Linked DNA regions of Drosophila melanogaster. The protein of the gene in region 1 interacts with the protein of each later gene in a pairwise test. Each region holds a gene or a part of one and is shown on either strand. Other genes may lie near its edges. The genes, in order: RpS20 and hpo.

What was found.
Region 2: the proteins of RpS20 (region 1) and hpo interact in a two-hybrid assay, tested with the Drosophila melanogaster proteins (2 studies listed by BioGRID).

The regions. Positions count from the first base shown.
Region 1 is NT_033777.3:20,820,364-20,824,021, reverse strand, and holds RpS20 (ribosomal protein S20), read right to left. Parts: upstream 1,842-3,658; 5' UTR 1,752-1,841; coding exon 1,749-1,751; intron 1,605-1,748; coding exon 1,449-1,604; intron 1,413-1,448; exon of another isoform or gene 1,273-1,412; intron 1,221-1,272; coding exon 1,131-1,220; intron 1,097-1,130; exon of another isoform or gene 962-1,096; intron 891-961; coding exon 777-890; 3' UTR 666-776; downstream 1-665. Other genes in the region: CG17272 (uncharacterized protein), read left to right, coding at 57-87, 155-219, 283-633; CG17271 (uncharacterized protein), read left to right, coding at 2,311-2,421, 2,481-2,594, 2,656-2,876, 3,224-3,372, 3,579-3,658.
Region 2 is NT_033778.4:19,493,347-19,498,957, forward strand, and holds hpo (hippo), read right to left. Parts: upstream 3,511-5,611; 5' UTR 3,403-3,510; coding exon 2,115-3,402; intron 2,058-2,114; coding exon 1,336-2,057; 3' UTR 650-1,335; downstream 1-649. Other genes in the region: Rep (Rab escort protein), read left to right, coding at 1-71, 129-529; CG15120 (uncharacterized protein), read left to right, coding at 4,456-4,720, 4,814-4,992. UniProt on the Drosophila melanogaster protein: Plays a key role in the Hippo/SWH (Sav/Wts/Hpo) signaling pathway, a signaling pathway that plays a pivotal role in organ size control and tumor suppression by restricting proliferation and promoting apoptosis.

The DNA.
Region 1 (3,658 bases):
TGCCCCCATTAACCATTTGTATTTATGCAACTTTCTACTTCTGAACTTTATTTCAGGCTCGTTACTTTAAAGAACAGGACATTGATGGTAAATATGCGTATCAATGTGAATTGATGATTTCATACCGAAAACATTTCTTATCTGTAACCCCCAGAGTTCCGTGAGTGTTTTTATCTGTTCGCCCGTTCGGGCCAAATCAACAATTTGGACGAACTAACCGTGAGTTGAGCTCCCACCCCAGAAAAAAAAAACATACTAATGGTGTAAACTTCACGTCATCAGGTTATTATGCGTTCTTTGGGTCTTTCGCCGACGATCCAAGAACTGGTTTCCTATCTGAAGCAAAAGAATGGGAAAATGAGCTTCGCCGACTTCCTGGACATCATGCATCAGCACTCCAAGGTGGAGAGTTTGCCGGACGAGGTCATTGCCGCCTTTAAAGCGGCCGATCCGCAGAATAAGGGCACCATCTCGGCCAGACAGCTGCGTAATCTACTTCAAAACTGGGGAGAGGGCCTGTCCATGCGCGAAGTGGACAACATCTTCCGGGAGGCCAATGTGAACAACAATAGCACTGTGCGGTATGCAGACTTTGTCAAGATTGCATGCGCCCCAGTTCCCGACTACTATTAGACTGCCTTTACCATAAAAAAACATTCCAGTAAAGTACTCCAATTTTCGCACAATAAAGTTGGCCAAATGTGTATGGAAAAAGTTCTTTGTTTTTATTAGCACGCCAAACTTTTCGAGGTGTAAAAATGTGGCATCTGCCGATCTTAGTTGGCGATGGTGACCTCAACCTCTACGCCGGGCTCGATGTTGATGGAGGTAATCTTCTTGACGATCTCAGAGGGCGAGTGCAAGTCGATGATGCGCTTGTGGATTCTCATCTGGAATAATGTAATATTGATTTAATATGCAACTCCATTGGCAAGCTAATAGCTGAGTCATTATTAATTAGTTTTGTCGCATTCAGAGAGGCAAAGTGTGAGGAAATACCAACAAATTGTACTATGAGAATACGTTTTATCTGGGCAAATCATTGATACTGTGGAGCGACTGGTTGAATGCCCAACCACGATATCAGATTCGCCCGTTTGTTACTATATATATTATAGGGGATAACCCACCTGGAAGCGATCCCAGGTCTTGGAACCCTCACCACAAGGAGTCTTACGGGTGGTGATGCGAAGGGTCTTGGTCGGCATGCGCACGGGGCCCTGAAATAAATGAATATTTAAGAATTAGAAAGGAATTCCTCATGAAAATGGGTATTGTAGCCTGAACCATGTGATATTCCAGCTCTGCAGTCGATCAGTGCGGGAATAATGTCCGATTCTGGCACTTTATCTAGCATTTATTAATGACTAGGCTAAGCGTCTGGGGGAACGCAAAGCCTCCAGGTAAATGCAACCTCTAAATCCCTGAGTTGGACGCAAAATTCTCACCTTGACGCGCAAGTTCTGGTTCTTTGCACCGTTGATCAGGTCGCGGCACACATTCTCCAGCGAACGCACGTTCCTGGATGTCAGGGTGATGCGGATGCGGTGCACAGAGGCAGAATCGCCGACATGGGGCTTCTCAATATCCTTGGGTGCAGCAGCCTGTGGATTTGGCGGAAACATCGATTAAGTGGGGTTAGGTTGAACGGCCATCGCACGTGCACGGTATTTCGTGTTGGCAAGGGCAATGCAAGCACTACTATTGACTCGCAGTAGTTGCGGATTGTTCGGCAACAGCATTCTTACCATTATTTAGCAATTTCCCTGGTCGAGATATTCAAATCTTTGTATTTTGAGCAGCGCTGAACCAGTCAATTTGCTGGTTGAAAACGAAGAGAAGTTTTACAGGGTGTCCACGGTAGACCGTAGCTTCAATCTTTAAAACACCCTAATTATGCCCAACTGCATTTGGGGTGTTCCTTGAGCTAAATATTAGCGGGGTACTAATACTAAACCCCTAACGGTGAAATCGTACACATATTAGATTGATTAAATTTTGAGTTGTTAAATGGAAGCATCAAGTTTGTTTTTATGATTTTTTTTTTCGGTTTGAAGCATGATAATATTATCTACGCGCATACCCCTAACCCAGGCGCGCAGTGTTGTCATGCCGCTCACACGTTTCGTGGCGAATGTCCGCACTTACCTGAGAATCAGCTGTCGCTCGCTGCGAATGTCCACCGGCGAAGAAGAAGCGATTTGTGTACGTGTGTGTTTCGTCTTTGCGACGTGGTGATTACAGAGCCACCAGAAGCGATATAGATCCCAAACCGATCCGATCCGATCCCCGCCAGAATCCAGCACTTCCATGCAGATGCGCGTCACGGAATTGCCAGCAGTTCAGCTGCTGCTGCCCCTAATCCTGATTGGATTGGCCAGCGGACAGCGCGTCGCTCCCGGAGTGAATCCGCAGCACTATGTGAGTGATTTGAAGCACCCCCATTCGCCAATGAGGGAATTAACCCACACATATTGCAGCAACAAGTGCCGCAGCAGGTGCCGCAGCACCACCCACCGCCACCACCGCAGCACCACCAGCCGCAGTACCAGCAACAGGTCCACTCAGCACCCGGTGTGCCGCCCCAGCAATACGTGAGTGCAAATGCGCATTTCCGAATGGCAAGCAATTAACCAGTAGGCCTCCGACTTCCAGCAATACGAACAGGTTCAAGTTCCCGTGCAACAGCAGGCACCGGTCCAATATCAGCAAGTTCCTGTGCAGCAGCAGCAGCAGCAACATCAACCAATCCACCAGCAACCGACGATGCAGCAACAGCAACAGCCGCAGCAGGGGCACCACCAGCAGGCAGGTGGCCACCACCATGGGCAACCGCAGCAAGTCCTAAACACCGGCAACATTCAGCAGGAGCGCGCGTAAGTGCCCGTCTATCTTATCACTGCCACTGGCAATCATTATCCATCAATGGAGCTTTAGGGTATACGAGTAAAAATGTCATAAATAAATCATAAAAGTGAAGGGAGGTATTTTGTTGTACCGCAAACCTAAGGCTTAATTAGGAAAAAAGTCTATAAATTAAGCATAGTGACATTTTCATACAGCAAATGTTTCCATTCGCATTTAAAGAAATTATATATCAAAAGTTCCATGTTAAAAGTAAATTAGACATAGTACTTACATAATATTTCTGGGCTGATCTATTTCTTCAACCAAATCAACGATCAGTTGGATCTAATACCAAACCTTACTCTTTCAATTTCAGTCACATCCAGGAGCACATGCAAGTGCCAATCGATACGAGCAAGATGTCCGAGGCTGAGCTGCAGTTCCACTACTTCAAGATGCACGACTCGGACAACAACAACAAGTTGGACGGCTGCGAGCTGATCAAATCGCTGATCCATTGGCACGGTAAGATAGCTACTGCTTTTTAATCTGGCTCGCTGGTTAGAGTTGCGTTTGTGGTTTCTGTATTTCGTTTTGTTTGACCCACTATTCTGTTCTACTTCTTTGCATATGCGTAATAAAACTGGGCTGTTTCCGGTTATGGTTGTGGTCATGCTCGAATCTCATGCTAATCCATCTCGCATCCGCCATAACAAATCATTGCCATGCAGAGCAAGGCAGCAAGGAGCAGCCGAACGGTGAGAAGCCGCATGTGGAGGAGAAGGTTTTCTCCGACGAGGAGCTGGTGGCC
Region 2 (5,611 bases), on another chromosome or scaffold:
CAATGAAGGTGGACGGGAAGCCTTCCTAATACAACTGTCGCACTACACGGGAGCCTGTCCCGAGGGTTTATGTAAGAAACTTAAGAAAATATGTGAATTATTCCTTTTTAATGAATTAATTTTTACAGATATCTTCCATCTGACCACGCCAGCGTTGAGCGAGGATCCAGCGTCTGATCTAGCCATTTTCACTAGCCAACTCTTCGATCAATCAGACGCACAAATAATATTTAGCTCATACTTCACAATTGCTGCCCAGTCTAGTAAAAGTCCCGCTGCCGAGCATATTTACTACACCGATCCACCTACCTACGAGCTGGATTATGACGCGGCCATTGCCAATGCTCGCGACATATTTGGCAAAATGTTCCCAGATGCCGACTTTTTGCCACGAGCCCCAGATCCAGAGGAGATTGTCGTGGATGGTGAAGACCCTAGTGCCTTGAACGAGCACACTTTGCCCGAAGATTTGCGGGCACAATTGCACGACATGCAGCAGGCAACTCAGGAAATGGATATACAAGAGTAGTCATACTAAAATAAAAAGGAGGTTTCCTTGGTCTACATATATCATTACTTATTACAAAATTTTCTTAAGTATCTTTCGAATAAGTTATATATTGTATGCAATTTTTTGATTCATATATTCCTATATATTTATTATGTAAATTATTTATAATTGCTAAAAGTACTAGGTATATATAAATGTTTAAATGTGAGTGTTTCTGTGCATTTTGCTTTGATAAATATATGTTCGAAAAATATGCATTCCAATGCGTATAAAAATGTTTCTCCTTTATAAGTATTGCTTGACGGGTTACTGTTTTTATCGCACGAAGACAGAAAATAAGTGTTTTAGAGATAAAGGTTAATAGTTACCAAGGAAGAACGAATATTATAAGTCTTATTAAATTATGATAAGGCCTGGGCAGTTCACAATACGGGCAGCTACAATAAACGCAAGATAAATTTTATTCGAGCATACCTATTTATATTAAAAGACAGATCAATGAAAGCTAGGATATAAGAAACCAAGCATAAATTTGATGAAATCTAACAGAAAATATGCTTTCGTGCTGGAAGATACTGCCGATGACTCCTCTTTTCTGTTTTCACTGCATTTTACAATAAAGCTTTTGTGTTTTCATTTCTTGTGATTGATTTTAGACCCTTCCACCAGGTTAAATTTGCACAATGCACGAATAATTTCTAGAGGATACAGATGATGGGTCTGTAAGATTCAGTATTCATCTGCAAACTTAACCCAATGTAGAGGCAATTGAGTGAGTTGAGATTTCATAATCAGTTGTCTTGCGAAATTGTGAGTTGCTTTACCTATATCTTAATCAGATTATTATTGATGTTCTGCTGGCGTTTGCGCTTTGCATTCATGGCGTCAACAATTGGCTGCCGCTTGGCATTGTATTTCTTGTTTAGCTGTTCGATCTCCAGCTCCATTTCGTGATCGATGTTGCACAGCCGCTGGTTCAGATCGTCGAAGGTAAGGAACTTGAGGAACTCAAACTCACCCTCAACATAGGCGTGCGATTGCGTATGCATATGCTGATTCTGATATGCGGGCGGCGGTTGAGCTGGAGCCGCTGCCGGTATTCCCTGCTGTCCCATTGGCGCAGCGTTGCTGAGCAGCAGATTCGGTTGATTGTTGAGCGCGATGAGTTGTTCGTTCATCAGGGGATAAGCCATCAGAACTTGCTGCTGCTGCTGGTGCTGCTGCAGACCATACTGATTAATGGCGGAGATCTGCTGGAACTGCATTTCCATGTTGTGCTCCCAGTTGTTCAAATCGTTGGCCCCGCTTGCCAGATGCTGTTCATCCTGCTGTTGTTGTTGCTGCTGCTGTTGTTGTTGTTGTTGCTGCTCCGCTGCTGCCGGAGAATACTCTGTGGCTATGGGTTTTTCATCGCCACGGCCATCTCCCGCATTTTTGCGATCGAAGTGCTCCAGGAACTGCGGCCTGTAGCGGTTTCGCGGCTTCTGGTCGTCGTTGTTTTTGGCCGTTGTGGAGTCGTCCGAATCGGAGTTGATTACCATAGTGCCTGAATAACAGACAATACAATAACAAATGGCCAGCCCTTTCAAAATCATTTACATACCCAAGTTCGACTCCAGCTCCACCATTGTGCCGCTGTCAACTGCCGGCATGTCCAGAGGAGATGCTGCCGAAGAGGCCGCTGCAGGAGCAGCTGCCTTGGACAGGTTCCTTAGTCCACCCGGCCCCAAAGTGCCCTCATCCACACCTTGCTCTGCATGCGCTATCATGGTGGCATCTGAGGCTGAGCTCTGTTGGTATTCACCGAACTTCTCCGGCACCAGAGTACCTGGATCCTCCATAAACGCGTTGTCCGTGATGTGTTGTTGCATTCCGTTTTCCTGGGTTGCCAAGCTCTTCGCCTGACTAGCAGCCAACACGCCCCCAAAACTGCGATTGGCGCGTTGCTGCTCGCGAATGGCACAGGTCTCCTCAAGCATAGGCTTTAGGATCGATCGGTGCTTGGCGTTGCGTATGAACTCGTGCTCCAGCAGTTCAGTGGCCGTTGCCCGGTCGTCTGGCTCCTTTACCAGGCACTTGCTCACGAAGTCAATGAACTCTGTGCTCCAGCGATCCGGTTCCCGGAACGATGGTGGTGGCTTCTGCGGAATCATAAAGATGGCTCGCATGGGATGGATCTCACCGTATGGGGGCTTTCCCTCGGCCATTTCCAAGGCGGTGATGCCCAATGACCATATGTCTGCCACACAGTCGTAGCCAATCTCCTCAATCACCTCGGGGGCCATCCAGAAGGGCGTTCCGATCACAGTGTTTCTCTTGGCCATTGTGTCCGTGAGCTGACCAGCGACTCCGAAATCGGCCAACTTAGCATAGCCTTCGGTATTGAGCAGGATGTTGGCCGCCTTGATGTCGCGATGGATCTTGCGACGCAGATGCAGATAGACCAAGCCCTGCAGAGTGTCCGACAGAATAGTGGCTATCTCGTCCTCCGTCAGCGTCTTTTTGCGCAGACGCATAATGTCGGAGACGCTGCCGGCGCCACAGTACTCCATGCAGATCCACAGGTCATACTGCTTGAAGTAGGAGCCGTAATAGCGCACCACATACGGCGAGTCGCATTGTTGCATAATGGATATCTCCTTAATAATCTCGTGCAGGTCGGACTCCACCGGCACCAGCTTGATGGCCACAATGGAGCTGCTTTCCTTGTGCACTGCCTTGTAGACTGATCCATAGCTGCCCTCGCCCAGCTTGTACATAATGTCGAAGACCTTTTCCGGCGGCTGCAGAAGCGACTCCTCCGACAGCTTCTTCAGCTTGAAGAAGGAGCAGGAGGAGGATATGTTGGGCGATTTCATATCTACAACGCTGGTCACCTCTGGCTCAGACATTGCGAAAAATTTTCTGATTTAGCACGAGAAAACACAGATAATTGGCTATTCACAGCGACATATCACACTTTTGTTCTTTATTCGCACTCGATCGCTAGCCAACACTAGTAGTTCTCAGTGCCCTCGGCACTTTGCAACACGCCACCCGCACAGAACAGGTGCGGCGTTGCCAGACAAACGCCGAACACCGCAGAATGTAAACAAAGCACCAGTGCTGCATAGCAGAATTAGCCATTTATCGATAAGTTCTCTTGGCGCGCTTTTTAAAACTTAATTTATTGGCTCAGAATTATAAGGTTAAAATTAAATTTACAACTCACGCATGCTTACCTCTTTTTTGAAATCTTTGCTTGATGATGGCATTTCTATGTTTTTCTCATGGCTATTGATTAGATTTATGACGATTTACTTTGTACTTTGATTAAAAAGATTTAGTAAATTCTGATTAACATATAATATTTATAATATTAAGTTGTTTAGGTAATTTGTTTCACTTTGAATACGTTTTAATATTTATTACTTCTGTATATAAAATTAAATTGCTTTTATGGATCGATTGTTGTTGTTCATCAAATAGAATAAAATGTTGGCATGATTGACATGAGCTGTGCCAATTTGTCGTTGTTAATCTGCGGTTGCGCCCCCAGAAAACCCAGATCCCCTTCATTCCGATGAGTTCGCTGACCTGAAATGCCCAATAAAAGTGCTTGGGAAATCTACATGCAGTCCGGGGACTTTGGTTAGTGCATAGTCGAATGATAATAACAACATAACTGGCGCCTATAAGGCTAACCGGCTTGTTATTGTAACAAATGCGACTGGAAGAGAGCACCGCAGCGAATGCGAGCAAGCGGCTTTAGCTCCAACTGCTGGCTTATCGGTCACTAAGCCGCCCCAGGCCTTAGCAACGTGCTCCATAGAAACGACACGACACCCAACAGCAACAGCAAAAGCAACGCCAACACCAGGAGTGCCAGCCTGGCTACAGAAATTCCTTCGCTCGGCAGTTCGCTGTTTACACTACGTGGCTGCACATCGTCGCATCAACCGGAAATGGCCATGGCCCAAACGGCACGCACCGCGACGGCAAGGCGTCCCACGCACGACTACCACAGGCCGACGCGCTCCAAGTCCGCCAATCCGGCGCAACTGCGTCCACTTAGCGGCATCCATGGAGCGGCGGTCTCGTCGCGTCCGCGCTACGTTCCACCCTTCTCCATTCAGTCGCAGCAAAAGAACACGGTCGTCATCGACGGACCCATCCACGAAACCGCCCCCAAGACAGCCAGTGCCAGGAGTCGGGTGCCCAATCCGAAAAGTGCGTTAGTTTGTTTATTTGGGTGTTTCGCCCATCGGTATTTGTTTCCCTAATGACATCCCTGCCCACATTTGCATTTGTACTGATTTTCAGTTCTGAGGCGCCAACAAAAGTCCATGTCCACCTTCAACTTGGGCATGGGTCTTAATGGCTGCTCCACCGGTGGGGCTAATGATCCGGGACGAGGAACCCTCTTCCGAATGTACTTTGACCGCGGCGACCTGCCCATAAAGATGGAGTACCTCTGCGGGGGCGACAAAATCGGATGGACGGTGAGTGGTGGGAATTATTTGGTAGGGCGCTAAATTCCATTAGGTTCGTTGTTAGTTGACTTATTAATTATACTATATATATGGTATTAAGTTATATTGTTCGAAATTTGGATAGGTCATACATTTAAACTTAATTCTTTTTAAGCCCTTACATTCGGGTAATGATTTATTTTTGTAACCATAGCTAGAATTTTCCATATGTCTGTTGGCAAACTTAAACTTCAACTATACAAATGTGAGTCAATGCAAATAAAAATCAAATGAAATTGCACGACTGTCACTAGAAAGGGGTAACCTTACCACTCGGTGACCCATAGACAAAGCCCATATTTGAATTTAGCTCGAGTTTCGTACACCTGCGTGTCCAATTATTTCAAGTGTTGCAGGTGAAAGCAAAAACCGAGTAAATAATATGCCATTGTCTATTTCCGGAGTTAGTAGAGCTCCACGGCTGACGGGCAAGCGATTCCGTCCGGAATGCGACTACTGACATTCAAAACGTCGCACCGTCCAACTGTCAGTCAATTTCCCATGGAACTCCGCTGCAATCGGAAAGTTATGTGTAACCAATTCCCACCCACCTCGCATGAGTGTGTGTGTGACCCCTTTGGCTGGTTCA